Linked DNA regions of Lepisosteus oculatus. The protein of the gene in region 1 interacts with the protein of each later gene in a biochemical or structural test. Links are inferred from orthologs where the notes say so. Each region holds a gene or a part of one and is shown in the gene's direction. Other genes may lie near its edges. The genes, in order: hmga1b, prkcab and prmt6.

Region 1 (11,201 bases):
TGTACATGTACAGATGGCATCCAGAGTGCCAACAGAAGACTCAAAACAGTCTGTAAAAAACAATTCTTGTCATGTTGCTAACTAGATCACAGTCAGAGGCAGCAGACAGGGTTAACTCTTTAATACTACACTCTTTAAAAGTGGTGCAAACAAGAAACCTACAGCCAGAGTGACACATTGCACTTAGGATCAGAAATATGGGCTTTCTTACTGTGGATTAACAGTTTGGTGAACTTTCATGACACTTTAACTGCAATCCAAATCAAAATCACATTTGAATCCACTGATATAAACTGACAGAAGTCTGATGCACAGCAGGGTGACTCAGAAAATGGAAAGCAATGCAAAAGTGCTCACTGTGAACATGTGGAATTGGGGTTCTCTGTTCACAGTTGTTATGATGAGATATCCTCTTTGCTCAGTGACAGTCACTGGCATTAGAAACAACTGACTTAATTCTGCAAAACATTACTGAGCTCTCTAAACAGACAAACTGTGGCCATTCTATTGCCATCACAAATGCCCAAGCCCTCCAGATGATTGCAATATTGATTTAGCCAATCTGGCACCATAGATCATGAGTCTTGTCTCTCCTATTGAGAGATCTCTGATTGCCTGATCACAGGTGAGTAATCTGTGACTATTCTGCACTTTTCCAGGCTATTTCTGTCTAATAACTGCACATTTTCCAGTTGACAAATGCCTTGTTTCCACACTTGACTTGTGCAATACTAAAATGTAAAGTACCAACAAAGGAGATTTCAATCACCACTGTACACACAACCCCTCTACAGCAACTCAGCTGCTTAGAGGGACAGTGTGCAATTATTATATTTGTCAGTGTCCACATTCATCTTCATAAACCATTTCTTCATTCAGTTTAGATACCTTTCTTGGTTTTCTCAATTGAATTGACCCAGATTTGATTTCAGAAGAAATGGCTTCTTCTGGGAAGTTTCTAAATAACTTCTGGATAAGTGTGTAGGTCTTTGGACATAGAGTCAGGGGTTCAAATACCAGGTGTGGATACTGTTGACTATCCTGAGCTGCCCCAGCAATTCCAGCTGTATAAACTGCTCCAAACATTTGTTTATATAACAAAACTAGTTAATGGTAAACTCTGTAACTTGCTTTAGATAAAAGATCAGACAAATAAACAAACCACTCTGATAACAACAATAAATGATACAGTGCTTCTGAGCATCATATTAAATAAAATGTTGGAAGGAACAATAGATTCCTTGCGTAAGTGGCCGGTCAGAAACATCCAACACAGTGTTAGTACAAAGATAGAAAAAGGAGAACATGCTGCATATAACATCCTCTGCTTTTCCTAACCCCCAATAGGTGTAAAAGAGCCATTGTTTCCTACTGTGTTTCTGCCAAGCTGCTTCCTGAGTTGAAAAGTTCACACACCCCCCTCCAGACAATACAAGAGGTGTGATATTCGTCCAGATATTTACATTCAACAGAGGAAGCATTTTAATTTTCTGACCTGTCAGAAATCCATCAATCTTCTCTCCCCTTGAGTTCCTTAACGCTGGCAATGCTCTGTATTTGTTCTCGTGTCCAGACATCCATCCATTTTTAACTGCCTCTTCCACTGCAGGGTCAATGGGGAGTCAAAGCCTACCTCAGCAAGTAACAGGCTCAAAGCTGGGTATACCCTGGACAAGACGCCAGTCCACTGCTGGGCAGACAGACACTCACACATTCACACCAAGGCCAATTTTCCTAGAAGCCAATTAACCATCAAGTATGTATTTGGACTGTGGGAGGAAACTGGAGCACCCAGAAGAAACCCATTAGGCATGGGAGAACATGCAAACTCCACACACATAGTACCCCAGGTTTGGAATTGAACCCACGGTCCCAGCACAATGGGGCAGCAATGCTATCCTCTGCACCACTGTGCCACCTGTTCTGGTGTCTTTTACTTTAAAAAAACTGAAGAATCTTTCTTAGCTCAAGCAGCCAAGGACCTAAAAAGGATCCTGAGATTATCAGAAGTTTTAGACAAGAGCTCAATGTCAAATGAGCAATGGCTGAAAATTTTATTCAGAATGCTGCTTCCAGACCTGTGCGTAATACCATATTCCTGTTCAGTGATTGAAGTGTGAAGCCTCCATCCCCCTAACATCTTTAAAAATAACTATATTTTGTTTCCAGGTAATTTAAAATTGGATTTCTTAAGAGAAAATTGTGTCTGGTTATCTCTAAGTGTCCTACTTCGGAATCTTCATCCTGCATTGGGGAATGCTGTCAGCAAAGCTGGACAGCAGCATGATTGCTTTAGTCTCCTTTATTATATAAAAGGCTGTTTTGTTTTATCCCCAAAAGGCTGTTTTGGTGCTGAAATTGATGTAATCTACTTTATACAGTAAAATGAAAGAGAGAAAATATTATTTTTATTATGCTGGTTATGACATGTGGCATGGTGTTGCAGTAGTTAGTTGCAACACTGGGGCTCATATTGTGCAATATGACTTTTTTTGTACTGTTCTGTTCTGGTTTGTTCTTTGTGTGTTCTGGACTGTGAGTAACTCATCTTAGTGCACTTCTCACTGTACTGATTGTATTGTATGTATTGTATTATTATTATTGTATCATTCGTTACACTGTGGCTGTGTTAAGTTGCTGTTGCACTGCAATTTTCCTCACGGGATCGATAAAGTATCTATCTATCTCTGGATTCAATTCTGGACCTGGAATGCTCTCTGCATGGAGTTCATATGTTCTCCCTGTGTTCGCTGGGTTTCCTCCGGGTGCTCTGGTTTCCTAACATACTGGTAGGTTAATTGTCTTCTGGGAAAACTGTACGGTGTGTTTGAGCCTGTTTTTGTGTCTGCCCTGTGATGGAAAGGTATCCTGTCCTGCCTTGCAGTCTTTGCTGGACAGGATTGGCTCTGGCTCCTCAGATGCAGCCTTTGAAAAATGAATTGGAGGAAGAGGATAGAAAATCACTAGATATTTATTGTGCTAGTTTCTGTTTTATAGCTTTGAATCAGAAATGTGTTTATTGTTTCACTCAGAACGCACTTGTTTATGTGTGAAGGTTCTTCTCAGACAATGTGAAAGTAAACTAACATCTGCTCACAATTCAGCAGTTATCCCCCTTATTAGATTAGAGTATGTTACTTTATCCAAATAAGACATCCCTGATCTGACTGATTTGTAATTTGTAATCAAGAACTAAAATCAACTGTATATTGCTTTTGTGAGCATAACTGCTGTTCAGACTGTTAAGAAATGTGCTTATGAAAATTTAGGGATTCACTATTATCCTACCTATGGGAGAAGGGAATTTTGTTATGGTATAGCGTACATTTTGAAAGAGCAACCACTCCCTAAACATTTTTAATTTGTATAAAAGTTTATTTACAGGGATTTGCCATTTCCATGGAAAACGTTCATGAAATAAGCAAACATTCTCTTAGGTGTAAGACAAACTAGTTCAATTAGTCTCCGTACTCTTAAACTGTCGAAGAAACAAATGTTACAAATCCCCAAAAAGGATAAAGACAGAGGATGACAAGGATTGAATCAGTTTGTTGTGTGCCTGGTCTGTTTCCTGCATCCAAGTAAGTGTAAGAGAGAGCAAAGTATATAACGGAAAAGTGTTTTGATAAAATGTATTATTGTTTTTAAAGTATATCCAGCAGCCATATCACCCTGCAACACACAACTGGCAACCCACTGAAGCTAAGCGGGTGTGAGCCTGGTCAGTACCTGGATGAGAGACCTCCTGGAAAAAACTAAGGTTGCTGCTGGAAGAGGTGTTAGTGGGGTCGGCAGGGGGCGCACACCCTGCAGTCCATGTGGGTCCTAATGCCCCCGTATAGTGACGGGGACACTACTAAAAAGGGCACCGTCCTTTGGATGAGACGTAAAACCGAGGTCCTGACTCTCTCTGGCCATCAAAAATCCCAGGGCATTTCTCGAAAAGAGTAAGGGTGTAACCCCGGCGTCCTGGCCAAATTTCCCATTGACCCTTACCAAACATGGCCTCCTAATAATCCCCCTCTATGAATTGGCTACATTACTTTGCTCTCCTCCCACTGATATAGCTGATGTGTGGTGAACGTTCTGGCGCACTATGGCTGCCGTCGCATCATCCAGATGGATGCTGCACGTTGGTGGTGGTGGAGGGGAGTCCCCATTACCTGTAAAGCGCTTTGAGTGGAGTGTCCAGAAAAGAGCTATATAAGTGTAAGCAATTATTATTAATTACATTATTTTTACAATATGCCCACCTGTCCACTCTGAGTTTGCGTCTGAAAAACAAACCAAACTCACTGTCAGGTTTTGGGTTTGTTCTGGGCTGAAAAGGCTAGTTATTTGATCTTGAGTGTGAATGCTCTGTAATCCAAAGGAACTACAGCAGCACAAAAGAACAAGAAGGCAAAGTAAAGTTCAGAACATTTCAAGACTCAAAGGTAAGACACACACTTTAACACAGGTTCCAGGAGCTGAATCTCTTTAGTTTTGAAAGCACTGTACCACTCAAGGATTTGAATAAAGCATGCATCCAAACCTTGAAAGGTTCAGCTCAAAGAACTAGTTAAACCTCGACACAATGTAGGACTGAGAACAGAAGACTCAATTTTCTCAAAAGGCTGGATACAGTTCCTAATTTAATTACTAGCAAACTGGTGAACATTTGGATTGGAAAGTCTCCTGTCACCGTGAATTTTCATTTAAAAATATTCTTCAAAGAAGAGTGAAGTGTACGACATGGAAAAGGTGACAATTGCTAAACTGCTTTCAGAGGAATTACATTTGCTTAGGACAACAGTAAAGAGTGTGGTAAAATAACCAGATAAATAAGACAATTTTTTGTGCAGGAATAATATTTACTTAATTTAATTATCAGGTCTGGAAAATTATATCACATGAAACAATAGTTTTAGTTGAGTGCATATTATTGATAATAATACTAATATAAATTGATAAATGTATGGAAAAAGGTTAGCACACAAAATTGATAAATTAGGATAATAATACCTGACATACTGTCTTTTTTGTGCAAAGGTGTACTGGTGTAGCACAGCAATCTCTAATTATAGAAGATGGCCTTTGCAAAACTAATTTACTGTAGATGGCTTCTAGCTTATCTTTATTTTTTACTTGACTCATAAAATTTTCATAAAATAATAACGGATTACACGGTTTAGCGAGAAATACAGTGACGAAATACTTTAATTTGCATTTTGTGTTAGTTTGTTGAGGGTATAAATACAATATTTATTGTATTTATACCCTCTATGAATTGGCTACATTACTCTGCTCTCCTCCCCACTGATAGCTGATGTGTGGTGAGCGTTCTGGCGCACTATGGCTGCCGTCGCATCATCCAGGTGGATGCTGCACATTGGTGGTGGTGGAGGGGAGTCCCCATTACCTGTAAAGCGCTTTGAGTGGAGTGTCCAGAAAAGCGCTATATAAGTGTAAGCAATTATTATTATTATTATTATTATTAATATTTGAAACTATTTGATAAACAATTCTATTGAACTCCATCCATTTCATGTGATTTATCCAGTTCATTTTTAGAATAGTTTTATTGTTCAAAATGCTGATTTATTATTTATGGGGGGAAGCAATTGGGAGAAAAAAAACAGAATTAAGAAAATTCCACAGCATCTATATTTCTTTTTAAAAGTATACAGTTAATTTCAGGGCTTTAATGCACTGCAAATCAAACTGCGTTAATTTTTTTCTAACAAAGACGCAGGGCCATCGGACAATATGTAGAATGGATAGGTACAAGAACAAAGCTTAGCTGAATGCTCCTTAGTTGTATCTTTCTTCTATTGAAAGGGTTACACCGGTAATAACTTTAAGACTTTAAGTTAAAAAAAACTTGATGGGCGCACTCTTGCTTTCTGACTTTGCACTGTTGCACTGAAACGATTTCCTAGAAAGTACGCTCCTTGCTGCGCTTACAAAAAAATTAAAAGCCCTTTTTAAAGAGCTTCACGAAGACCGGCCTACTTATCATATCCCCGCCCCTACAGTTGTTCTTTTCCCCCTTGAGAGAACCTCCTCAAATTGTCCTAAAGTCCCCCTGCCCGGGCTTTCTATTTCGCTTGGAGAACACTGCGCGCTATTTTTAGCACATATTGGACCGTTTCCAGGACCTGCAACATTTTTTTGAAAAAATTGGTAATTTATCCCCCCACCACCACCACCTCTCTCTCTCTTTTACTTCCTCTGTCTCACTTCTTAAAAAAAAACTGAGGTTTTTAAAGGGCTGGGTTAGTATGCTTATTTCCTTAGCGTTATATCTACTGTAGCTGCTGGGAGCTTTAAACCGGTCAGGCAAGCGAGCAAGCAAGCCAGACTAGCAGGGAGCTTTTGTTTTAATTTAATCAGAGGACATCACTGTGGGGGGGTGGGGGGAAAGGACAAGCACCGAAGCAGGGAATTCAGCACGGCTGTTTGTGAGCTCTAAAACCGGCCTTGCTTGTAATGTAAGTGAACGGCCACCTTTTTGTCGTAATTTATGTCCAAGTATGTGTTGTTATTTGGATTTTTACGATTGCAGTTAAAATGTAGCTCAAGTGTTGGATTTCTGACTGTGAATCCGCACGTTTCATTGTTATTTTTCTGCAATGTATATATGTATGTTTTGCACATGCTTGTTTGCTGATCGTCCTCTTGGTAGCTACCACAGCAAAAGGGGGAAAGATTTATTTTCATTGCGTTTGTATTGACCTTGCAGCCGCCTGTTCCCGTCTCTGTATAAAAACGAGAACGGTGCTTCTTCACGGTCGGTGTCGGGCTGATATTGTATTTGTGCTTGCTTTGCATATTCCTGTTCGTGCTGGAACTGCGGGGCATCCGTAGCGACCCTGCTTTCAGAAATATTATACACGTTTTTAGGGACGTATTATTTACATCCTTTAGCTGCAAGTTATGGCGTTCTGGAGCTCTGAATAGCTTTCGTGTGTTAAAAAAGCATTGGAAACGTTTCATGTGCTTGCACGTAAAACTGCGGTTTGTCGTCTGTTTATAAATGAATTAAATGGTGGTCTTGGGATTTTGGCCTTTTAACTACTGTTTTGTTTTTAAGAATTGCGCTTTTCAGTATGTCAGATTTTTTTTCCATTAATCCCCCTCTCACGTCAGTTTTTTTAACTTTAAGAAATGACTTACGAATCTGTTGATCCAATTAAAACCCGCTTCCATGCAAGTCTATACTAGATGGATTATTGCGTTCACAGGTCTGCTGTGTCCTCTGTGTGAGGCGATTCCTATTCTCTTAGAAACCTGTCAATGGGCTTGTCTTCTAATTTTGAACAGAAAAATGTACCAAGGAAAAGTTTTGCAATAAGTGCGAAGTTGATTTTTGGCATGGAGATAGTACCTTTAAATCGTATTCGAATGTTGCATGATTAATCTGGCGAATTTCTGTCGAGTTTAAGTGTTTTTTGGCGTGTTATTGTTTTTAGTGTTTATTGCAATCTCCCCTGACACTATTCCCACAGCAGAGAATGTTTGTATAAATAATGTATTTCACATCACACGGTAGGTTATGAACGTCTCGGAGAGCGTGTGTGGTTTGTGGTCTCTGGCGCCTTTTGCTTTCAACAAAGGCGTCAAATTGGATTAAAGTGGTGGAACTCGTGTGCATTGAAGAGTTTAATAATCTCGTAGCCGCACCGTGAGGATTTTAACTGTTATGTAATTATAAAAGTCTCTTTGTGCTAGGTAAAACAAATACTTGCATTTTATGTAGAAAACACCAACCCCTCTTGTGGAAATGAAATTGCAAAATGCGAATATGTTTGAAAGCAGAAAGCTGCACAGGTGTTCATGAAAGATTTCTTGTTTAATGTTGCTTCGATAAAATACTTTTTCTTGAGAACTTGGCTAGGTGGTGGCGCTTATGAGTACTTTTTATCTCGTTCTTTCAAAAACGGTGAAAAAATCCCCTTATCGCTTACAAGAGGCCAACAGGTGTCTGCGCTGTACGGAGTTGTATTACACAGGCCAGTCTGCTCAGGGTATGCTAGGATGTTGCACTCCCGTCTCTTAACGATTCTAGGAGTGAAGGTATCCAAATGTTTGCTGGGAACTGCGAATCTTCAGAGCCTCTGTTCAAGCTGCGTGATCTATAACGTTAAATTTAGATGACAATTTAATACTTTGTAAATTGTCAGTGGGTGCATAGTGCTGAAGTTTAATTCTTCAGTGATTTTGAAATTCTGATTTTCAAAATCTCCCTCCCTTCTTTTGAACAAATCCTCTTTGTCTTTAACCTTGCACGCTTTCGAGTCTGTGGTTGCTAGAAGTTGCTTTTGGGAAGGGAGCCCTTGCGTTCAAAGGTGCCCATCGCTAACCCGTCTTCTGTGATTCTTCCCTAGAATAAAGGAACGGGCAGAATATGAGCGATTCGGGTGCAAAAGGCAACCAGTCTCTGTCACAGAAAGACAAGGATGGAACAGAGAAGAGAGGGAGAGGAAGACCTAGAAAGCAGCCACAGCTAAAGAGCCTTGAAGTAAGTATGAGTTTGGAACCACACTTTGAGCTCTGATCATGCTAGTGTTGAGGCTAAGTTACCAATTGCTAACATACTAATTTATTTGGCTGAGTCACGTCTGTACCCATTAATACAGCTGGGTGTTCTGCTGTGTCACGTCTGGTGAGGTACCATCCTCACGGGTACAAAGCAGTGTCTCATCTGGGATTTGAACCTGCAGCCCCCCTGTTGAGGTAATCTCTGTTCATTGTAGTCAAAGAACCTAATCTGACCCTCTGAGATCATTTGGGTCCACTCACACTAGGGAAAGCAACATGTGGATGTAACCATGGAAATGAGACCTGTTAAATTTAGCCCTTCTCCTCTGGAGATTTGTGAAATATCTTCAGTGCTCCTGCCCCCCCCCCCCCAAACATATTTTTCACGGTAAGCCTGTGCTCTTGGTATTTTGATCGTTGGCTTGGAAAGAATTCAGAAATCCCATTGAAATTAAACCAAAGGTGCAGACTGTAAACACATGGAACAGACCTTAAGCGATGATAATAATAATAATTGCTTACACTTATATAGCGCTTTTCTGGACACTCCACTCAAAGTGCTTTACAGGTAATGGGGACTCCCCTCCACCACTACCAATGTGCAGCATCCACCTGGATGATGCGACGGCAGCCATAGAACGCTCACCACACATCAGCTATCAGTGGGGAGGAGAGAAAAGCAATGAATTCAATTCCTAGATAAATCAGTGTAACCTGCAGTAAGGAGGCTGTTGTCCAGGTTTGGCATGTTTCAGTGTTCAGCTGCCATCATTTTTAGGGTTTGTCATTTGTCCTCTCGGACTGTTTGTGAATGTACACCGTAAACGCTCATATAACCTCTGAAAAGCACATCTGAAGCATTATCATTAAAGCCTTTCAGACATTGACTAGGTCAGTGTGTATTGTGTTCTGCCTTTCTGAATCATTTGGAAGCTATGGATTTGCTATCTGCTATGTTTATACATATAATGGCTGCATGCTTGCTTTTCTGTAGCTGTGCTTCAGATCTCTGATGCGTATATGCTTGGTGCGCAGAACATTTGGGGGTAATAAGAATTTTTCTCATTTAATTTAATAAAAAAAAACTTGAAATTAAATGTTATCCAAAAGGTAATGGAGAGTGAATGATTTCAGTTGCATTCTTCGAGGTCAGTGAGGGTCTAACTCGGGCACAGTGTAGTTCCTGTTCTGCGTGGTAGATGTTCCTGCCAGTGTTTGGCTCTATCAGCTGAACTCTGCGAGGCGACTCTCAGCCCGTCTCCCAACTTCCTGCTTATAACTCTCCTTACTGGCCTTTAACCTGAAAGGGCTGTTTTTTTCCCTTTGCTTCAAATTTTTGTAGGTCAAGATATTCTCTCAGAAAAGTCCTTTTCTTACAGTAAATGTACTGATATCTTTAATGATTGTTGTTAGAAATCACCCGATAATAGCAACTCTAGTTTGTGTATTATAAGGCAATTCCTGTATGTTTTTGTTTAAGAATTTGAAAAAATATATATATATATTAAAAGGTAAGGGCTAAATGGTTAGCATCTCTGTCTTGCAGCACTTGGGCTCACGGTTCAGTTCCTGAGCTGTTATGTGCCTGGACCTTGTATGTTCTCCGGTGTTCATGTGGGTTTCCTCTGGGTGCTCCATTTCATTCCCTGTGTGTGCTCTGGCATCCTATCAAGGGTGTATCTTGCGTTGCGCCCATTACTTGCCAGAATAGGTTCCGGCTCCACTGTGACTCTGTATTGGATAAGGTGGTCAGAAAGTAGATGGATGGATTTAAAAGTTATAATGAGTACATCTTAAAATCTTAAAAAGTGTTTTGTTTAAATTAGACCGCCATTGGCTTGAAACTTCTGACTAGCTTTGTGGGGAGGGGGCATTCCTTCCCTCCTTCCTTTGTACATTTGTAATGATCTTCATTTGGCCTGGCGGGTTGTCAAAGCTGTGTGAACGGAGCCCCTAAACCACTGCTAACTGGCGGGTTCCTCCTCCCCTCCCCTGATTGGCAAGCGATAAGCGGAGCCAGGCATGTCATTGGCCGGGAGGGCTGTCGTTTGCTGAAGCTGCTGTGGGTGTTAGATTACAGGGTTGCTAATGGCTGCAGCTGTAAACAGACCAGGAAGGTAATAAAAAACCTGCACCACTATAATATACAGCCGGATGTATTATTCATGTCTATTACAGCTCCCAGGCTAGGCAGAAATCCCCTCCCCATTTTCTTCCTCTTTCTTTATTAAAGCTCAGATAGCTGTAGCTGAGGCAGGACAGCTTGCTGTGCAGAACAAGTCAGCCTCCCCACCCCTCACCCCTTATTTTACCTCAATTAGGATTATTTCTCTTTGGAAACTGAGCGTCTGAGGGATTGTGTCAATATTTTGTGTACTGTTTTCCCTGTGGCATACATGATGTTCTCCTTAGGTGTTTATATGGTGCCACTGTCCTCATTATATGAAAGCATCTTGCCTGCATTTATTCCTTTGCTTTATCCAGCTGTTTTTTTTTTCTTCTTGCACTGGGATGTGCTCACTATTTTTAGGAGGGCCACACTCTTTACTATAGACAGGGTAGGTGCCCAGGCACCTACTGGACGCATGAAGGAGCAAGAACCCCAGCAGCTGCCTGGGTGGCGCTGGCATCCACAGCTCTCACTCCGGGCCATGGTTTTGATTGAAAGGCAGCCCTCT
Region 2 (11,782 bases), on another chromosome or scaffold:
TGGGTGCAGGAAAAAAGGATTCTCCTGAGATGTTATGCACTAGCCTCGGTAAGGCAAAACCAATGTTATATTTAAAAGTAAATTGCTTTTATTCTGAATTTCCCCTGGAATTTCACAGTTGCACAACAGCCTGTTTTGCGCTGTAAATAACTGAACAAACAAAAAACCTCAACACTCCACAGAAGCAGCAGCTCCGGCCAGGAATGATGGAGTCACACCTCCATTTCACCAGCTGACCTCAAATTTCATGGCGCTTGGTCTGCCAGAAACCTCTTGCTCTGTCCCAGTGGGCAGTGTTTTTTTACCAGTTAACCGTGGCCTGGGAAGTCACACATTTCACTGCACATGTTAAGTGTGAAGGTCTGCCCTGTGCTGCTCTGTTTCAGCGTGTTTACGGAAAGGCCTGCCTGCGATGTCGTTGCTGCAAACTGAAACTGGAGATTTCCGATGCGGTAAGAAACTCACGGGAGCACTTCAGAGTTGGTCTGCTCCAGGCCCCAGACAGGGTGCAGACCACCTTCCTGGAGCCCCCTGTGGTTTTGTATCCGGGCTTGCAGGTGTAAAAGGTCTCCTCTCCGGCCTCAAACACACGCCTGTCGTCTTCCATCTCCGCGTTCTCTATCAGCGGGGGGCGCCCACACACTGCAGATGCACAGCCAATACAGTGTGATGTTAATCTGCACGGTGTGCTTTCAGAAAAATATTTTACTACTCTTAGATGTTAAACGTATATTAGGACACTGTTGCAATGCAGTTGACAAATTCTGGTTACAAAACCTTTATTTTACATAAGCACAGCAGATATAAGACAAAAAAGCTCCAGCTGAAACTGTGGCATTGGAGTGTAGAGCATTAATGAAATTGTTTAATGAACTCTAATGTCTTTCATTTGAACTTGCATAGCTTTCTTCGTGTTCAAGAAGGAGGACAGGCGACCAGCCCAGTGCAGTCGTTATTTAGCTGACCAAAAGACTGTGGGTCATTGTTATCCATTCCATTTAATAAACGTCACTAATTCTTTCAGTCCGTTTACCGATTTGAGGTGCCTGTGGTTTGAGCCATTATCTTGTTATTTGTAAAATAGTTGTTCTTAATTTTCTAAAGAGGTACTTATCTATTTCAGAAAACTACACCCATGGAGTTCTTCCAAGAAGAAAATTATCTGGGCATAGATAGACATTCCACAACTTTAATAACTTTATCCCAGAATCCTTTCAGAACAGGACAGGTATATAATACATGTGTGTAATGAGCTTTAGTCTCGCCACAATTTTGCCAACAAGCAGTTGTGTTTCTTGTATTATTTTATTATGTTTTTAAAAATCTCATCTGAGTTTTCCATACACATTCCCTCCAAAACCAAGAGTTAGTTGTCTTAAAAGTATTCAGAGAAATCTATTTTCAAACATAAGAAAGTAATTCTGCTCGTAGCTCATTTTCCTATTTGGAAATCACTTTAATTTCTCCTACACTTAATTCATCTCACAACAGATGACTTCATTGACCCAACATATTCTTAATGTTTAATTTATCAAACAGTTTTGCTACAAACTGAATCAAAGGATGAATTTCATCAAAGGTCTTCTTGATTCCCTGTATCTTTGTAATGTAACTCTGATTATATTTATATAATATATAAATATATATATTATATACAAGGTCGCTCATGGCTACAATACTGCTCAATGAGAAGGCCAGCCAGGACCTACTGTACCTTTGACAGCGTTCGCTGAGGGCTGGAGGGAGACCTCGCAGAGTAACAGCAGAGCTAGTCCCCACAGCATCTTCCTTGGCAGGGCTGAGGACACAGTCGCAGGCACAGGGTCTGTCCTCTCCGGGAGAGCTGAGCCGGACTAAGAGATCAGCCTGCTGACACCGCTGTTTGTCCACCTCAGATGAGCCAACAGATAAGAGCAGATAAGCCTAGCCAATCATTCCATAAAAACACCAACCACAAACACTGCTGCAGGGCACACAACAACAGTAATAGGAATAAAAATCATCTTCAGGCACATAAGTACAGTATAAGGATACTGAACATGTCTAAACTGAAAATAGTCCATTTTCAGGACTAAATAAAAAATAACTTCCAACTTAATAATGAATAATTCTGAACGATATGCATGTCTAGAAAGCAACATTCTTCAGCACAGATTTAAAATAGCGCCCCGCTTGAACTCAGCCTCCACCTTTTCTTCTAGATGTTTCTAAATTCTTCTGGACATTAAAGTATTATAAGTAGTATCAACCCTGGGGTCTCCTTTCTCTTCTGATTTGATCAGGGGTCTAAAGTCCAAACCACAGTTGTATTTACCCAAAGTTGAAAAGTAACTCTCTTGAAATCAATATTTTTTAAAGGCAGCAAAAGAAAGCAAAACACCTGGGGTCTGCCTGCATGGTCAGTAAAGCCTGCTCTTTGTTTGCGTCCCTTAATACTGTGCTGGCACCCACAATCATTAAAGATACAGGCTTTGGGAGCTGCAGTTTTCTCAGATCAGAAACTTCTGTGTATAAAATAACAGACAGCACTGCGGTAAACACTATATCATCTGCCCAGAGGGAGAGCAGGCAGAGCAGGTTAATATTAACACCAGCCCCTCAGCTCTGTGACGTGCCCATCAGCTCAGCACAGCTCCAAGATGACAATCAGATGAGACACAGTGAGAGCTGGAAACAAAAAAAATTGTTGGCTGCTTGAGGTTTAAAACACGTTTCCTCTTATTTGCTACTGAATAAATCAATCGTTCCAGAGGAGCAGTTTATCTAAAGATACTGAAAATATCTTCTAATGTATCCTAATACGCACATATTGACTTATTCATCTATTTTCTGTTTTTCATTATTGTTTTTTAACTTTGATTTGACTCGGCAAAACTGGTTTGATTCCCAGTGACACTGGTTCCCAAACTCTGTGGGACTCCGGTACAGTCCGAGGAGCCCCCAGAAGATCTGGGAAGTATTTTAAATTTTAATAAGCAGTTTTCCTCTCGTTCGTGTAAGTGCCTTGGCTAGGTACAGCATTTAAGATCTGGATTGTCCTCTGGAATCAGTCCAGGGAAGAGCAGGCAGATACTTTCTGGAGCTCAAAGGAGACAGGCAACAAGAGCTGGACCTTTTTAGTTTTGAACAGAGGAGACAAAAAGACTAAAAGGGAAACTTGTACCCGAAGTACCCGAAGGCCCTGACAAAGCGAGCCCAGTGGATCTCTTCTGATCCAACAGTGAAACACGAACCAGCAGACACAAGTGAAAACTGTGGACAGTACATTAAAGGCGAGTGTTTATCATGGTACAAAATACACAGTTACTGTTAAAGAGGAGCAGACCTAACTGTACGCCACTATCATTACTACAATTTCCCTACTGGACCAGTTTCACTGCGGAGTAGGATTCACACTATAGCCAAAATCTGGTAAAAAGCAGACATTTACAGTAGGTATCCTAATATGCACATATTGACTTATTCCTTTTACTGTGCAATTAATCCTTTACTGTTTTCATATACTTGCAGGCATCTTACTGTCATGGACTTACGAAATTAAGAAACATTACAATAGGCCGGAGATGGAGTCACTTCCTCTGGACTATATTTGACTCCAACTTACAAACGTCCATAGCAACTTACATTTGCATGCATACAGCTGATTACTGGACCAATTTAGGTGAAGTACTGTACTTCACTGAAGGGTATAATAGCAATGTCTCACCTGGAGTTCAAACCCACAACCAGCCAGTGACAAGTGAAATGTCCTGACCCCTGCACCACACTATTCTAGCTGAACTGTGGACAGTCTAACACTAACCCTAATCCTAGCATCACTCCAAACACAACAACAACAACATCACTTTATTAGCCCTATACAATTTCTTGAATTAGGAATTTGTCTTTTCGCAGACCCCAGCTTGCTCTCCATGAGACACACAGACAGGGAGATAGCCTGGGGTCAGAGCGCAGGGTCTGCCATTGTACAGCGCCCCTGGAGCAGTTGGGGTGAAGGGCCTTGCTCAGGGGCCCAATGGAGTAGGATTCCTCTGCCGGCTGCGGGATTTGAACCGGCAACCTTCCAGCCACAGGCACAGATCCTGAGCCACAGAACCACCACTCCGCTCCAAACACAACTTGACCTTCATTGTAATATTTAAAGTACCTCTGATAGCACAGGGCTCAGGGATGAAGAAGTAAATCTCAATCTAGACTAGAAATGTCATGCAATGTCACTCCTGCTAAGGGAGAAACTGGATCACTTGTCTAGCCAGCAGCCATATCACCCTGCAACTCATAATTGGCAACCAACTGAAGCTCAGCAGGTGTGAGCCTGGTCAGTACCTGGATGGGAGACCTCCTGGGAAAAACTAAGGTTGCTGCTGGAAGAGGTGCTAGTGGGGCCAGCAGGGGGCGCTCACCCTGCGGTCCATGTGGGTCCTTATGCCCCAGTATAGTGATGGGGACACTATACTGTAAACAGGTGCTGTCCTTCAGATGAGATATAAAACCGAGGTCCTGACTCTCCGTGGTCATTAAAAATCACAGGGAGTAGGGGTGTAACCCTGGCGTCCTGGCCACATTTCCCATTGGCCCTTATCAATCATGGCCTCCTAATAACCCCCCTCTATGAATTGGCTTCATTACTCTGCTCTCCTCCCCACTGATAGCTGATGTGTGGTGAGCGTTCTGGTGTTCTACATTGGTGCTGGTGGAGGGGATCCCCATTACCTGTAAAGCACTTCGAGTGGAGTGTCCAGAAAAGCGCTACAGTGTATATAAGTGTAAGCAATTATTATTATTGTGCGCCTTCCACATCCCCTGAGAACTCCCTGTGGAGAAACATAGAATCCACCACAAGGTGTCGCCACCGAGCACAGTATAACTCACCAGTCACTTTCCAAGTAACCTTCCCAGCTGAACCCCTTCCACCTAAATTAGTTGCCTCAAGTACCCCCTTGAGATTTTAACTAATTCAAACCTTTCAAAACATGTAGATAGATGCTACAGCAACCGTCTTAACATAAGTTGAGCTCCCATGAGTCTGATCCAAGGTTATCATCGCCTTTGGCTTTCATCCATTTGACTCCTTGCTCCTAATTTCCAGGATTCTCTTCCCTGATGTTCCCAGTCTTCTTTGCTCACCTCCAGATTAAAGACCCATCTTTTCCCTTTTCCTCTGGCCTTCTCCTACAGTACATTATACTCCGGGCTGATGGACCTGAGCTGAGACGTGAGTTCTGGACCTGTCCTGTTCTTATACTTTACACATGTCCATGTACTGAAAATGCTCCCAGGTAACAAAAGTCACATGTTCTCAAAATCATGCTGACTCAGATGTTCAGTTTAGTTTATTTGTCATATGCACAAATGCAATGACATGCTTAAACGTGTTAAAGCATTTCACAGCACTTAATAATAATTTCTTACACTTATGTAGCACTTTTCTCTACACTCCACTCAAAGTGCTTTACAGGTAATGGGGCTCCCCTCCACCGCCACCAGTGTGCAGCCCCACCTGGATGATGTGACAGCAGCCAGAGTGCGCCAGAACGCTCACCACACACCAGCTCTCAGTGGGTCTCAGAGAGCTCTCAGCTATCAGTAGAATAGAGTTATAATAGATGGAGGATGGATTATTAGAAGGCCATGATTAGTAAAGACCAATAGGAAATGTGGCCAGGATACCAGCTTAACACCCTTTCTCCTTTCAAAAAATACCCTGGGATTTTTAATGACAGAGTCAGGACATTAGTTTTTATGTCTCATACAAAACAGGGCACCTTTTCACAGTATAGTGTCCCTGTCACTCTACTGGAGCATTAGGACCCACATGGACCACAGGGTGAGCGCCCCCTGATGGCCCCACTAACACCACTTCCAGTAGCAGCCTTAGTTTTTCCCTTGAGGTCTCCCATCCAGGTACTGGCCAGGCTCACACCTACTGAGCTTCAGTGGGCTGCTAGGTGTGAGTTGCAGGGTGATATACAGTAGCTGCTATCTTATTAAAGCTGACACGTATTAAAAGTTGTGTTCTATGGAAGGCAAAATATGTAAGAGAGTTAGATTAATTGATTTTGGTTCTGTTACAGCATATGATGCTTTTGGTGCGTTGTGTAGAATTATTGTCAAACTGTGTGGCCGAGTTGAGGATTTTATTTACTAGATGAACGGGGCTTGTAGAATCAATCTCTGCAGTTCTAACAGGTTAACATACCTGTGTCCAGCTGCTTAAAGCTCATTCAGTTAAAAGTTTAAAGATACCAAAGAACTGCGGCAGCTTCAGGACTTGAAGTCACTCTCAATAATGTTACAGGCACTTTTTAAATTCACCGGTCATTACGAAGACATCAGCCCTGCAACACAGCCCGACGGCCAGCAGGTGGCGCGCCGCGCTACCATTTTTTTTCCATCGGGGAATGAACGTATCCTCCCCAGGAGTGTAATGTGCACTGACGTCAGCCGGAGTCAAAGAAGGAAGGAGAGTCCGCTGTCTGAGCTGTCATTAACTAGTTGTAGCGCCGGCGAGGGGGGACGCCGCTTGGTCAGACGTCTTGAGTTGCAACGACAGCGCCCGCAGTTCACAGACACGAAACTCCTGCAGCAGCACAAGATAACCCACACGGGACGGGACCAAGCCAAGCCGAACGGAGGGCTCTGTCGCTTTCTGACATGGCTGATATGATACATATCAACGAGCCACCTTCGGCGGACGTAGCGAACCGTTTCGCCCGCAAAGGTGCTTTGAGGCAGAAGAACGTCCACGAAGTGAAGAACCACAAGTTCACGGCCAGGTTTTTCAAACAGCCGACCTTCTGCAGCCACTGCACCGACTTCATCTGGTAAGCGAGCCCTCTTTAAATCCGGGGCCCCCCTCGGCAGTTTCGAAAGTGTCCGCCGACGGGGAGTTTTCTGCTGGAATAACTCTTTTCCTCCCTGCACGGCGTCTCCCACTCCTGCCTCTCCGCGGCCAGTCTGGTGCAAACTGGGAGGAAGCGCAGCCGCCGGGGAGAGGCGGTTTCTCCCGTTTCGCTGCAGAAACTTAAGATGCCAAGTTGGGTTTTTTTTTTCTGCTGAGCCGCGGAGTTTTGCGGGCTGGGCTGGGCTGGGCTTGGCTGGGCTGGGCTGTGACCGCAGGTAGTTTAGTTACTTGGTGTCCCGGGCCGGCGTCGTGCGGGTCTTTTGCGCTCACGGGGTTCTGCGCCCTTTTAAAGTTTAGGATTCATCTGGGGGGGCTTTTGTCTTCTCCAGATTGAAAAACGCCCCCGGTTTCCTTGTATTTGCGAGGATGCGATACGAAAGATGGCAAGATGCAGAAGGTTTTTTTTTTTTTGATGCTCCAAACAATCGATATGTATTCAGCAAAATTCTGAAAAAGTGAAGAGCGCAGGGACTCGACTCACCCGCGGTCTGCGTCTCGGCGGATTTTCTCGTGAAAGCGCTTCCAGGATGATGCTGGATCTACAGGTCTGAAGTTCCCGCACAACCTTCTCGCAATCCCGAAGCAAGTTAAACAAACAGTGCCTTCGGCAGTCGGCAGCTCCATTTAGCAACTGTGAACCGCGATGTCCCCGCGGGGGTTACACGTCGTTCGGAAACCCAGCTATGCTGTAATTTTTAATTGCATTAAAACACAAATGAGTTTTGCCACACAGCAGGCATGCTTCTGAATGCACACCGCCTAACACGTCTGTAGGCCGGGGGTTTACAATTAAGATTCGCAACAAGTGTTTCGCAGGCTAATTTCCACGTAGACCGAGATTCATTAAAAACGCCGACAACCTGAGCGCTGGAACCAACGGCATCTGTTGCGTTTTTAATGGCTCTCGTTACAGATGTGTGTGACAGTCTGCAGCGCGCTGGTGGGCTTCATTTCCCTTGAACGCGGGGCGCGCACCTGCGTGTTCGTGGATTATCAGTACCGGCGTGCAGTTTCGCTCAGCCACTGTATTGGAGAAAACCGCTGTTAAAAAACAAACCCGCGCGGCCCTGGTGATAACTGCACTTGCACGGTCTTCTTGAACCGAGCTTTGTTCAAAGGCTGCCGCAGCGGTAGAGAATTCCTGGTCCCCTGCGTTTTCAACCCGTTTCCATTGTTGTGGAAACGGGGCTGCCTGGTGGTGTGACACCGCACGCATCCGTACGCCAGTGCACAGAAAGGGTCTGCAGTCGCCGGCGACGTGCGGGCAAACCTGACTGGTACCCACAGACGGCTGACCGCCATTAAGTGATTAATCCCCTGTGGAAATGGGGAAATAATTTCCCCCAGAGGTGCCATCTATCAGGTCGGTCACAGACGGCCTGAGTGAATGATGTGGGCTGCTATCTAGAGCTAGCTGCCCTGAATGCTGTGCAGGAGGGTGTATGCAAAACTTTTTTTTATAACGTCTCTAATTTCCATCTATGAGACTAGACTGTGCGGATCTGTATTTCACTGCGCTGCATGTCAGCTCAGCACATTTTGTGTCCTAGTGCTGTGGCCAAGAGGTGTGCTCTAATTACAGCAGCACGTTTTTGGTGGTGGTGGTGGTGGTGGGGGTTGTGCTCCATGAGTTATAAAGCAAGATGTGGAAATGTGTGGCAGGTAGCAGCTGAGAATTTGCACCAATGTGGTTAACATTTGGTGTGCAATCTTGTTGTGATTTGTGAAAGCCTGGGCTGGGAGAAACGGAGGAGTCTGCAACAAGGGAAGAAGACAGGGTCCTGCTTCACGGAGTCCTTTATAGGTTTGGGAGGGCTGGCTACGGCCGTGAAGCCTTGCCTCTCGAGCTGCTCGGAGTCTGTCTCCACCTCACAGCCTGACCTCCCCAGGTCTCGGAAGCTCAGCCGGGCCTGCTCAGTACTGGGGTGGGAGGCCTCCAAGGGAAACCAGGTTGCTGCTGTAAGTGATACTGGTGGACCTGTAGGTGGCGCTCTGACCTCTGAACCTGAATTTCCCAAATATTGTCCCCAGTCTGAGTCATTAAACTGAGTTGCTGACTCTATTGAGTTCATTGACTCCTCAGTCGTGAAGGACTCCTGGACAGTACTGGCGTAGTTGCTGCGCTGTGCTCTTGGCCTGTGCTGTCTGGTGTTGCTAAAGATCCCTCTTCATTCAGCTGCTGAAGCAGCTCTCACTGCTCCACCTGATCTGCTGGTCTGCTGGGGCTGATGGGCTGTGTTACCCCTGGGGTGTTGTGGGGGGGTTTGGGGGGCTGCTCTTCAGTGACGGGGGATGTGGGTCCTCTCCTGTGTTTATACTTCTCTGGGCTGAAAAGCGCTATGTACAGTAAAAGCAAGGCGGAGTTAATCATGAGTTATCGCCCAGGGAGGAGGTAGAGGGCATGCTCTGTCTATCTCGATCACGCCGCCTCACGTACGCCAGCAGGCAGGTGTTGCACAAGGCTGGTGCTCAAAGTGCACGCCTTCGGAGAGTGGGACAAGCTGCCCAGCCACATCACTGAAGCGAATTCCCCGGCTTCTTCCCAGAAACAACGGGGTGAGGTTCTGGGATCAGTTGGCTATAGATTGGCCATCTGACATGTTCTGAAATCAAAGTTACCAGAGCTCTCGCACATGAGGTCAGAGGCGCTGGTCAGTGTTGGTCTTCCTCATACAAAAACATTAAAAACAGATTTAGGTTTAAGATCAGAGATTAAGCCAAGACAATTAGATAAAATATAGTCCTGTGAAGAAGCTTCTTTAATTTTCAGGCTGAAAAGACAAGAGAGACACCATTTCAGCTGTGGATCCTTCTTCAGGTGTGACACTTGAAGAAGGCTCTGCAGCCGAAATGTTTTCTCTTTTCTTCTCGGCTGGAATAAACCTTTGCTTGCTCCTTTGCAGCCTACGCAAGCTGATGCAGCCACCTACATGAACTACTTTAATTTTTTAATTTTCTTCTGTAATGAAAGTCCTGTGTAATGAATGCTCATTCTCTCCAAACAGCTGTTTTTTTGTCTGTTGTTGATCCCTGCCAATTACTGCATGCAAAGTAAGAATAATTTCAAGTTTAGTTTCAATTAGTTTCATTAGTTTCAATTTCAGAAACTAATGGTGCTGTAGTGTGCTTAGTACTACTGTTCAGAATGCAGTGGCTTGTTAGAGCACCTTCTGCAACTTTCCTGTTCTTACTGTGAGGAGCTCCAGTGGTTCAGTTAAGTGTTTTTACACTAGGTGTGCAGTACAGTGTTCTCACAGGTTTTTTGCTCTAGAGTAGAAATAGCTCCTAATTAAGATAACAATCATTTCATCGCAGTAATACAATATGAATTTGCCAGCCGAGCTACTGATAATATAGATGGAAACAAAAAAAAAGTAAAATTAAAAACATGTCTTTCCTCTTGAGTGGTGTTTTGAGGTTTTCAATGAGCTCTGAGAGAAAGATGGAGAAGAATGCATCCTACTGGCCACAGATGGTGGACAGATGGGCTGCGAGATACAGCAGATACACAGACATTTCAGCAGACACTGCTTTTGCTCCTGAAGTAACGAAGAGAAGAAGCAAATACAAACGGATAAGCAGCTGAATTAGCACTCTGTGAAGGTCTCTGATAAAAGCAGTTTTGTTTTCTTTGTGCATCACACAAACGTGCAAACCTCCCCCAGCGCTAGCCATGACATGCCAAGTCCTCTTCTGTGTGGCTAAGAGCCGCATACTTGTGGGGCGCCAGTCTCCTTCATTACTCTTTATTAACGTTCATGCGAAAACCTTTAGCTTGTCAAACCGCTTGTATATATAATTCTGGCGTATTCTGATTCTTCTCTCTTTTTCCTTTCACAGGGGATTTGGAAAGCAAGGATTCCAGTGCCAGGGTAAGTTCTTGATGAAAAGAGTTATTCTGTCTTGACGCCTGCTCTGGTTTGTTGGGCAGCCTAAAGGAATGCCACTGTTTTAGCCAGAGAACACTTCCCATCATCTGCAAGCACTTGTTAGCGCAGAGGAGGACGTGGACATCCATTCTCTAAACGGAGATACTGTCTGTCCTCGTCATTCGCTTCACCGGACAGCGTATCTTCTGTGCTGCTCTGCTCGGGTATCCTCTGGCTCTCTCAGTCTGGCGGGTGCCTTACGCGTTCACACGAGGTGAAGATTGTGGCACAGAGAGATGAGCTGAGCAGGATCGAGACTGAAGAGCCGTGAGTTGTTGGGGGTCACGATGGGCGGGAGCCATTCTCTGTTATTTTCAGAACCGACGGTGAAGTAGCATCTTCCTGTTCTCCTTCAAGGCCAGGAGAGGCAGAGTGGTGTCTGTAGCTCGCAGCTCCCGGTGTCAGGGGGCAGGGAGGAGCAGTCATTCCTTCACGTGGAGAGGCCCAGCGCTGGCTCCCCGGCCCGCGGAGAGGTTTGCAGGTGGAGGGGCGGTGTGCTGGAGCCGCCGCGCGGAGCTGCAGCGCTGCCTGCGAATCCCCGCGAGCCGCGCCCGGGCAGGAAGTGGTTGCTTGGCGTGACCCGCACGGCTCGCGCCCTCACTCGCTTCCTTTCGTGCCCTTTCTCTCCGCGGCCGCTGAGCTGTTGAGGGCGGTCTGAAAGCACGCGGGTCGCTGTACAGAAAGAAGGCAGGGTCCCGGGCTTCATCCCCCGCGTGAAAGACCCCCTGCTGGCGGAGCGCCGGGCGGCAGGGAAAGGGCGGCCTCGTCGCCAGCGGGCCGGGCACACGTGAACCACTTCTTAGTTCCTCGGCTTTGTCCGAACCCCAAGGGGCTGCAAGACCTCTAAAAATAGCAAGGATCTCGTGTATTATAATACGAGAAGAAAAATCCGAGCCTTTTAATCCCCGCACTGGAGCTGAGAATGTTGTTTTCTGCTCCATGCATGTTT
Region 3 (9,959 bases), on another chromosome or scaffold:
CAGAGTGAGATGCTGCACTGAATAGCACACAAAGTTTAAAATGATTTAGAAATTAGCTTAAAAAAGAGACAGAACTGCTGAAAAGTGTGCATATGTTTTAGTAGGCTAATGATGATACAAATGAATATTGCAGTAACATTACTGTAATTAGTGACATACAGTAAACAAAGTTATATTTTAGAAGTATTTCTAATTCAGAGTTCAAATTCAAGGAAGTGATTTCTGCACAAACAATATTCTCCTAACAAAATAATGAGAATTAATTTGGCTTTCTGCCCATTTTACTTAAATCTGTCCAATAGCATAGGTCTTGCTTTCTTTTAACAAAAAAACAAAAGGTGAAAATTGGTACTGTTTAATTAGTTCATAATATCGGCCTAGGTTTATTTTAACATCTGCAACAATTACAATTTCAACACAATTGTGTGGGGAATACGAAAATACATCTTGGAAGTAGACCTATTTATAAAAAAGACAGATCTAGGTAGGTTGTTCAGTTTTAGCAAACAGGTTCATGTTGAAACAGATAGTGCCCTCATTGCATGAAATATACAATGCAATTAACAGACAAAAAAAATTAAACTATAATGTCATGTGAGGTGATATCCTGAAAGAAATTTTAACTTGAAGTAGAGGGCCTTTTTCTAGTCGCTTTAAAAACATCTATCTAAAATCTATTCCAGGTCAGTGCTCTACTTACAGTGTGTAGGTTGCACTAGTGAAAGGTCATGAATGATGAAAGACATAGCAGGTGGTCCATACTTTGAAGCTATCAATAGACCCCTGAGATGAGAATCAAACAAACCACATACAAGCCTTGTCAGACAGGTTTCAGCACTACAGAAAAGGAAAGTCACATTGGTAAAGTATAATGTGCACACACTGTGTAACATCAGGGCACGGTCAGCAAAGAACAGTAAAAGGAAGAAAACTGAAATATGCCATTTAAATAGTATTTTAAGAAATTTTCATTTGTGTGAAATAAAAAGGTAACACCATTGTTCCTAGCATATTTGCATGCATACAAACAAAGTAATAATCTAAGGTTTATTCCAAAATCGGAAAAGAATAAAACGCAAAGTTGTATGCTACATGCTTGGAAGGTGTTTCTGCTAATGCCCTTGAATTAAGGGAAAAATGTTGGTGTTTTGTTATTGCGCACAATCCTGTTGTCATTATACTTATTTAGTCATATACTGTATAAAATACCATTTGTACTATGTCAGATAATACACAGGTGTGGTTAAGTTACCCATTGGTCTCAAGTGTGATTGAAGAGCTTTACATTTTGTGATAAGAGTATAAGAGAAGAAATAAATATCATATGCGTTGTTGGTATTGGTTCCTTAAAACTTAAAAGGGGATTATGCTTAAAATGACCCAAAATAGTCAGGGTTACCTTTTTTTTTAATATCGCCCACTTCTTAGCTACAGATTGGAAAAGAAAGATGTGACTTTACAAAAGAAATTCAGAGCACTAGATTAGAATGTTCTTGACTTCTGATAAATAATGCACTCTTAAAAGCAACTTCTCCATTACATGATGATATCAGTTCCAATAATAAGACTTTTATAAAAGTAATCCAATCTTGACAATCTAATTATTCGAGCACTGGAAATATGCTTTCTATAATTTCAGATATTAAGGATTTAACAAAAGTATAGACATATAACTTGATAAAAACTCTTTTGCCCATTCATCCATTTCTAAACTGCTTTCCAATATTACATTCTATAAGAGACAGAAGAAGAAGAAGATGACCTTATTAGCCATATACAATTTCTTGAACTAGGAATTTGTCTTTTTGCATACCCCAGCTTGCTCTCCATCAGACACACAGGCAGGGAGAGAAGCTTGGGGTCAGAGTGCAGGGTCAACCATTTATATGGCACCCCTGGAGCAGCTAGGGTTAAGGGCCTTGCTCAGGGGCCCAAGGGAGTAAGATGCCTCTGCCGGCTGCAGGATTCAAACCGGCAACTTTCTAGCCACAGGCACAGATCCTTAGCCACAGTGCCACTGCTCTGCCCTTGAGTTGTTGGTTAACTTTTGCAGTTTCTCCTTAATGCAGTACCATATACTGTACAATTCTGTCCTCCTGGAAACATGAAGGTTCTAGATTTTTGTAGTTGTAGTTGTGACTTCAATATATATACAGTATATAGTATATCTTCACAGGCCTTTTACAATTAATAACTGTTGGCTGTTAATTAAATGTCAACCTGCAAATAAAGTGCAAACAAGTGGACAAGGTATATATGCTGATGTATACATTCGAAATTGTTAGAATAAATGTGGTAATAAAAGCTCTCAGGTTAATAAATGTATGCATAAATAGCTACAGGTACAGTATACACCCATATACAGTAGATCTACAAACGGTCACGTTCCATCCATCAATTTTTAAACTGCACAAGGGAGCAGGAGCCTAACACAGCAAGCAATGGGCTCAAGGTAAGATTCACTATGGATGGGAAGCCTGTCCATCAAAGAGAATACACAGACACAAGCAAACAGACATTCACACCAGGGCCAGTTTTACAGGAGCCAGTTAAGTACCAGCATGTCTATGGACTGCAGCACAATACCAGGGCACCTGGAGGAAACCCATGTGAACACAGTAAGAATATATAAACTCCACACAGATAGTAAGAAAGAATAGACAAAATCATTTTATGATATTTTGACAGATCTCATCCGCTTCTCTACTAAAATTGTTCCTTTAATTTTGAGGTATCAAATAACCTAGTTTTTAGGTATAACAGTCTCCTTACCATACAACTGCACATATCTAAAACATCTAAGTATCTAAGACTTTTCAATCAGCATTGACATATTTGCATTTTTATCTATCCAAACAAACCACGGGTCTCCAATAATTTAACTTCCATGTGTGTTTGTCATTGTACCAAATAGATTCATATGAAGTTATTTCACAAAAGAATCTTTGCAAACTGGAAATTAGTAACAATTTGTTGGTTTTCAAAAGTCATAGTAGATCAACTGAAATGCCATTTTGTCTTACTTTCATGTTTTAATGAGCTAAAACGTGATAAGCATTTTATTACAATGAAGCTTTGCTATCCACTCATTAAGAAAATATGTATTTCTTGTTGTTAAACATTAATTAAAACTATATAAAACTCTCATTCTAAAAAATCTAGAAAAGACGGAGAACAAAAGCAAAAGTAAATACATGTTTGACATGAGCTTTCTGATTGTACTGGAATGCTTAAAATCTTTAATTGCAGATAAGAGCGAGAACAGTATTCTGTTACTAAGGCATGCATCTTACACAAAAACCAATGCATTTTTAGAATAAAAGCATTCTTTATTAATAAATACAATGTTACAGATTTGTTTAAAATGCCCCTTGTAACTGTTCTACCATTGCAAGAGTGTTAAAATTAAATCTGTAATATTACAGCTTAAACATCACACATACAGTAAGTTGCAAAAACCATTATTTGGTTGTTAAAACTTTACATTTAAAGGAATGTTATTACCACTTGTTCAGTGCATTTATAGCTTTAATTTTCCATGTGTGGTGCTGCACCTGTAGTGCTTGCAGCATACTAATTTTGTATTACTGTTTGACCCCTGAATAAGAGCAGCTTCATTTATATACTAAGGCTTATGGTCTTATGTATTTATTTCTATTTATAATGCAGCTGTTCTTTGCAGTGAAATGATAGTTTCACTTCAAAGCATGAGTAAAGACAAAAAAATATTGGAGATAACAGGGATGCTTTCATGTACCTTGTTGCTGATTAAGAGTGAGCCCTGGTATGGAAAAGTTGCTAGGGAACCTGAAGCACTATGGTTTTGCTCACAGCTAAACTAGTCACACTTCTCCCAGCAGGGCTGTCTGTGAAGCTTCTGTAACACATAAAAGCACCTTCAAACTGTTCTTGCTTTTACTTACAGTATAAGGAAAGCATGAAAGCAGAGTCAAGAAACTATCAGCACATCACTTTTTAATTCAGAATAAACCAAACATATCTTCTTCCTTAGCTCACCATAACAGCACAGAACACAATGATTTTTGGAAGAAAAATTAGATGTTGAAAGTAGCCAATTAGATGTCTATAAAATTCCTTTTTTCTAACCACTGCATCCAATTTATGGTCACAGAGGAGCTGGGGTCTATCCTGGAAAGCAACAGGTGCAAGGCAGGATACACACTGGACTGGACATGACACCAGTCTATCACAGGGCAGACACACAGTACATACAGTACCATCTCACCAGGGCCAATGGGAGCACCTGGCAAAAAGACACAAACTCCAAACAGATAGCACCCTATGTGTGGAATTGAACCCAGAACCCCAGCACCCCTGAGACAATGCTAACTACTGCCCCACTGTACCACCCACCAGTGTCACCATAACTGTTTAAAATACTGGGTACCCTGTGTTATGGATGAAAGGAAAGAAGAAACAAAAAGCAGAAGAATACCTCATCAATAATTTAATCCATACGACCGTGTTATCAACACCAAAAGTGCATGGTGTGCTTCTCTTCAAGAGAATCTGTGAAAACTCCTTAACCAAAGCCAACTGAACTGCAGAAATGATACTGCAGATTAACTTTGTATGAACTAACAGCATCCAGCTTTACAGTACACAGATGGGAAATGATCGTCAGTAAACTAAACTGATGACTTAAAATGATTCAAACTTTCACATGTAACCCGGAACAGTGCAATACTGCAGTCGTTTGATAGAGAAAATAAGAAATACGTATATAATTATAGTTGAAAGAGGTTGATGCCTATTCACAATACAATAAGAAATCAGTCACAGTGAGAGCTGTCACTATGATTAGTAAGCAGACATTCTATTTTAATGTGTTGCTCAGTATGATAGAAACAGCTGGAGGTTTAGCTGGCTGTAGATAATAAGTGCTGGAGTGATTTTATTTCCTGTGCATAAGGATCGATCAACTTAATAAAAAGTCGTTTTTAAGACTGAGATTTATTTTTAAATAACCATCACAGGCTGATTTCACTTTGAAAACTGGGAAAAGGGTATAATTGTATCTTTTACTTTGTGGAGTTAGCCTCTGCTTGTTCTTCTACAGCTTGCACGCCGACGCAGCTCCCTGTTGTAGTTATGTTTAATTTTAAATACCATTAACGTATGTTTGTCCTGAGAATTTGTTCTGACGCATCATGAAATTACAGCCTTACGCTCCCTCTCTTTACACTCCTTAAAAGCATTATACATTTAACATAATCGAGTCCCCAGTCTTTAATTCCCCTTGTTCTTGGGAGTTGTAGTACAAAAGAAAAGAGAGGAAGTTAACTTAATTAACTTACTTCCTGTAAGAACTACGATTCCCATGATTCAGTATTACATCCTCCCTCGAGGTAGCTTGGGAAACGCGGAGTACAGTATAGCTGAAGTGGCGTGGGTATTTGACACGGCAAAATGACTCAATTTACGAAAAAAAGGAAACTAGATCAAAGTGTTCAGGATAGTTTGTACTTTGATAGTTATTCCGACGTGACCATCCACGAAGAAATGATTGCAGATAAAGTACGCACCAATTCTTATAGACTGGGTATTTTAAGGAACAGTAAAACGATCCAGGGTAAAGTTGTCCTGGATGTTGGTGCAGGAACTGGTGTTCTGAGCATTTTCTGTGTGCAGGCTGGGGCAAAGAAGGTGTACGCCGTGGAAGCAAGTGCAATAGCTGACCAAGCGAAGGCAATCGTAAAACTCAATAAGATGGATGACAAGATCGATGTTATAAAAGGTACATTAGAGACGACAGATCTACCAGAGGCGGTCGACGTGATTGTCAGCGAGTGGATGGGATACGCACTGCTCCACGAGTCTATGCTGAATTCAGTGATTTTCGCTCGAGATAAATGGTTAAAACCTGGTGGTCTCATTTTACCCTCTAAAGCTGAGCTGTATGTTGCTCCCATTAATGACTTGGTGGTGGAAGACCGACTCAGTTTCTGGAGTACTGTGAAAGACCAGTATGGTGTGGATATGTCTTGTATGTCTGACTTTGCACGGAAGTGTATTATGAATAATGATATCACTGTGAACATGGTTACTGTGGAAGACGTGCTCTCTCATCCTGCGAAATTTGCCGAGTTAGATTTGTACACAGTAACGACTGAGCAGCTTAAACGCGTAAAAGGGTCCTTCACATGTGAGTGTTTTGGATCCTCCTGTGTAAATGCATTGTGCGTGTGGTTTTCAGTGAATTTTCCAGGTGAAGAGAAACCTTTAGTCCTCTCGACTTCCCCTTTCAAACAGGAAACTCACTGGAAGCAGTCTGTTTTGTATTTGGACGAACCGATTGACGTAATGCAGGACACCAAGGTCGAGGGAGAAATAACCTTGTACCCTTCGGAAGAAAGCTCAAGACATATATGCATCCACGTGGACTACACAATAGGAGATCTTAAAAAGAAATCAAAAACATTTACAATGGGGGATGGCTACTCAGACCCTCAGTAAAATAATGTACCGTGATGTCTTGCTGGTGTGCCTGGTCAAGTCTAGACCCTTTTTAATTAAAAAAAAGTCCTGAAACCCACCATGTCTAGAAATAAGTGCTCCTCATTATATGTAAACTTATTTCTCCTTTGTATTGTGATATTTTTTTAACGAATAAAGTTAATGTGTATATGTGAAGTTATGCTGCTTGTTAGAATGTTAAAAGTATTTTTATAAACATGAGCTATTAACAAAATAAACCATAAACGTTAGATCAAATTTATTTGTAATCTACTGTGAAACGTTTTGAAGCGAATGTGTGCGAAAGCATTTTCCTGTGTGAGGCTTGTTTGAAGGATGTTAAAATTTTAAGACTATGTAAAAAGTGTGAAATGTTGAAATTGTAAGAGCTTGCTCGGAACTAATTCAAAAAGTGGTCTGTAACAAAATAAAACAAGTTTCAATCCAGATGTTTTTGAGGTCATAGAAATTTGAACAAAACAGTCTTGAAATCGAGCATTTTGTTGTAATCCCAGAATGTGGCTAAATATGAGTTGTTCATAGATTAAGGTTTACTTATTCAGTGCAGGAGTGAGTGATGAGAGAAATACCAAGCAGAACATGTATTAATGAGCCGAAGGACACAAGTAGAAACAACATGGAAATGCATTTAAAATTCAGCTACTTCTTTATTCAAAGGGTTGTGGGAGTGTGGGACAAGCTGCCCTTGTTGAAGTGGTTTGCGTGGTTAAAACTGATACCTTATCTTCTTTCAGGAAATCCTTGGATTAATAAGGTACTGCCAGCCAAAATGGCCAGATGGCCTGAATGAGCTCCTCTATTTTAGAATTGTTCTTATGTTTTATTATTATTATCAACGTTGGGCATTGCTATCCTTTCTCAATAGCTGTACTTGGCCTTTTAGAGATGCACATCACTGCTTAAAACCACTTTTTAAGGATTCAAAGATCATAATAGAGTTGTTAAAATGCATATTGAGTAGCTTTTCAATTTAGTGTACTTTGTGTTTCTGTGGAAGCAGAATTCCTGACTGGGTGCTGTGAGTCAAAAGGAATCTCCTGGAAAACCCCATTGCTGCCATGACCTTTCAACTTTCACCTTGCCCCTTATGATCTTTCAGATTACAATCAGCCTATGGTGGCAATTCTTGGCTATAGTTATAATATATTTGTACTTTCTAGAAGAAAATAGGTAAGACCTAAGATGTATACCATACTTTTGTGTAGATCTATAATAGTACTGTGAAGTACTTTTCTGTAAATGGTACAATCCAATTCTCAGTATGTGAATCCTCAGGTAATTGTAGATGTAATGTATTCAGTGCAGAGTCATTCAATGAAGTAGACACCCACAGGTCCTTATCTAAAAAAAACATGGTTAGTATAATGACTTCTAATGATGCTTGGAAGAAATTTTCTTTTCAAATGTGATCAAAGTGATACCAGAGCTTGATTTTTCTTGGAGACTTGTAATTTATGGGTGTCCTGAGTAAAAAAGGTTTACTGCCAAAAATTGATACAAAAAGCCTAACAGTGCTGGCTGTATCATGAATTATTTGGCCTTTTCCCCAAATGTGCTGTTTTAAAATAACCTCTTCATAGCTTAAACCGTGAAACATACTCTGGCCTTTACATTTTATTTAATGGTTGTTCTGATAATATAACCTTTAGATTTTATATAAGCCTGAAATGGTAACGTGAAGACAGGAAAGCAATAAGACTGGGGCTCACAAAGGCTGAGAGAATATGGCTGTCCTTCGACTGTAATTTAAGGCTGCAGCAAAGGTCCATGGGGGCATGAACTGCTGCAGCAGGAACTGGTAAGCAAAACCCTGCTTTTATTATAGAGTTCAGTTTGAGCTAGCATGACGATGTTTTGTACCGAGATGCTCTTGAAGAAGGCTGATTAAAAAAAACATCTTCGGCACCAGCCACCTTAGCACATGGCTGTTCCAGAGTAACTTTGTTTTTTTGGGGGGATGGGAGGCACAAGGCAGAAGAGAATTCTGGAAAACTCGGAGAGGAGCAGTGAGTTCATCTTATGTTAAATCTTTACAGTGTGTGTGCTGCGTGTGAAGTTACTGGATGATGAATGGTATTCAGATATGTGACAGTATTGTAACATCTACCACTTTTTTTTTATTTGCAGAACTCATTTTGTAAAACCTGTAGCTATTGTAACAGTCTGTGGATTGTGGTATGGGCTGCCACCTCCAGCAATACAGTCTTCTCTGCACACACAGTACAACTGTGTATAACATCCATTGTGGGTCTTCTGACCACTGTAGTGTCCTCTGTTTCTGGAATATTAAATATTCCAATATTCTCAGTTAAGGGGGCTTACAGTGAATTTATCCCTTTATGCAGTAAACGAAAGATTAACTAGCTGACTCAGAACATACCCAAATCCTGAAAGTACAAAGTCAATTATGTGTCATCCTCTGGATGGTGGAAGCTTAACAAGGCTGTGCCTGGTTGGTGTTAGCATTGAAAACGTCAATGGAAACAAATTTGTTTCTGTAAGAGTTGTAGTGAGCCAGTAGGTGGCACTATTCCTTGTAGACAACATACTCCAAAGTATATGACAGGAGACAGTCTGCTGTAAGATTTGATATTAAACCAAGGTTCTGACTACATGGTTGTGAAAGATACCATGACACTGCTCTTAAGAGCAGAGGAGTTCTTAACGAGCAAGGGCCTAACCCAGCAATCAATGGGCACAAGGTGAGATACACCCTTGATGGGATGCCTGTTCATCACAGGGCACAAACACAAACTTATACCCAGGCCAGTTTTTACAGAAACAAATTAACCTACCAGCATGTTTTTGGAGGGCAGGAGGAAACTGGAGCACCCACAGGAAACCCATGCAAACATGGGGAAACATACAAACTCCACACAGATAGCACCACAGGAACTGAACCCAGGGCCCAAGTACTGTGAGACAGCAGTGCTAACCACTGTGCCACCCAAGGGATATATTGTTCAATTTATAGAAATACCCTTGTGTGTGGCTTATGTATTCTCAGCATAAAAAACTTATCACTTTAAAAAAATCACAAGATTATTTTCAGGAAATTCTCATGTCTTTAGTGGACAACCATGTGACTGCTCATTAGGTTCTGATCCCTAGGTGCCACACTTTATCACTGCTCATTCTACAAATATTCACCGTTGCTGAAGTGCAGCAAGTAGGGCATCCACAAATGTATAATTCTCATCCTGCGAGAAAGTCATTGTTATATGAGCGCCATGAGGACATACATTGTCCTACTGGAATGTTGTCATGTCAGGATAAGCCCACAGGAAGGGTAATAACTAAGGTCTCAGGACTTGATCAGTGTTCTGCCCTGCAGTCAGTTAGCCATCAATCACTCAAGTGAAGTATTGTACAGGCTAGATGTTCCTGCCCCAACCTTAGCTGTTGATTTGTCTGTAATCCACACTTACTGTATCATCTTATTCTGCAGCACAATTACCAAT

Evidence for each region.
Region 2: of the proteins of hmga1b (region 1) and prkcab, one has a biochemical effect on the other in vitro, tested with the Homo sapiens proteins (2 studies listed by BioGRID). The link is inferred for Lepisosteus oculatus from reciprocal best matches to the Homo sapiens genes HMGA1 and PRKCA.
Region 3: of the proteins of hmga1b (region 1) and prmt6, one has a biochemical effect on the other in vitro, tested with the Homo sapiens proteins (2 studies listed by BioGRID, with this or other methods). The link is inferred for Lepisosteus oculatus from reciprocal best matches to the Homo sapiens genes HMGA1 and PRMT6.

Annotation. Positions count from the first base shown.
Region 1 is NC_090700.1:29,518,111-29,529,311, forward strand, and holds the start of hmga1b (high mobility group AT-hook 1b), read left to right. Parts: upstream 1-6,056; 5' UTR 6,057-6,165; intron 6,166-6,269; exon of another isoform or gene 6,270-6,473; intron 6,474-6,753; exon of another isoform or gene 6,754-6,772; intron 6,773-6,862; exon of another isoform or gene 6,863-7,530; intron 7,531-8,369; 5' UTR 8,370-8,389; coding exon 8,390-8,503; intron 8,504-11,201. UniProt on the Homo sapiens protein: HMG-I/Y bind preferentially to the minor groove of A+T rich regions in double-stranded DNA. It is suggested that these proteins could function in nucleosome phasing and in the 3'-end processing of mRNA transcripts.
Region 2 is NC_090704.1:46,204,143-46,215,924, reverse strand, and holds the start of prkcab (protein kinase C alpha type), read left to right. Parts: upstream 1-6,448; 5' UTR 6,449-6,654; coding exon 6,655-6,824; intron 6,825-10,744; coding exon 10,745-10,776; intron 10,777-11,782. Other genes in the region: beta-2-glycoprotein 1, read right to left, coding at 466-642, 1,715-1,784. UniProt on the Homo sapiens protein: Calcium-activated, phospholipid- and diacylglycerol (DAG)-dependent serine/threonine-protein kinase that is involved in positive and negative regulation of cell proliferation, apoptosis, differentiation, migration and adhesion, tumorigenesis, cardiac hypertrophy, angiogenesis, platelet function and inflammation, by directly phosphorylating targets such as RAF1, BCL2, CSPG4, TNNT2/CTNT, or activating signaling cascade involving MAPK1/3 (ERK1/2) and RAP1GAP.
Region 3 is NC_090704.1:10,698,899-10,708,857, forward strand, and holds prmt6 (protein arginine N-methyltransferase 6), read left to right. Parts: upstream 1-5,374; 5' UTR 5,375-5,430; coding exon 5,431-6,477; 3' UTR 6,478-6,924; downstream 6,925-9,959. UniProt on the Homo sapiens protein: Arginine methyltransferase that can catalyze the formation of both omega-N monomethylarginine (MMA) and asymmetrical dimethylarginine (aDMA), with a strong preference for the formation of aDMA.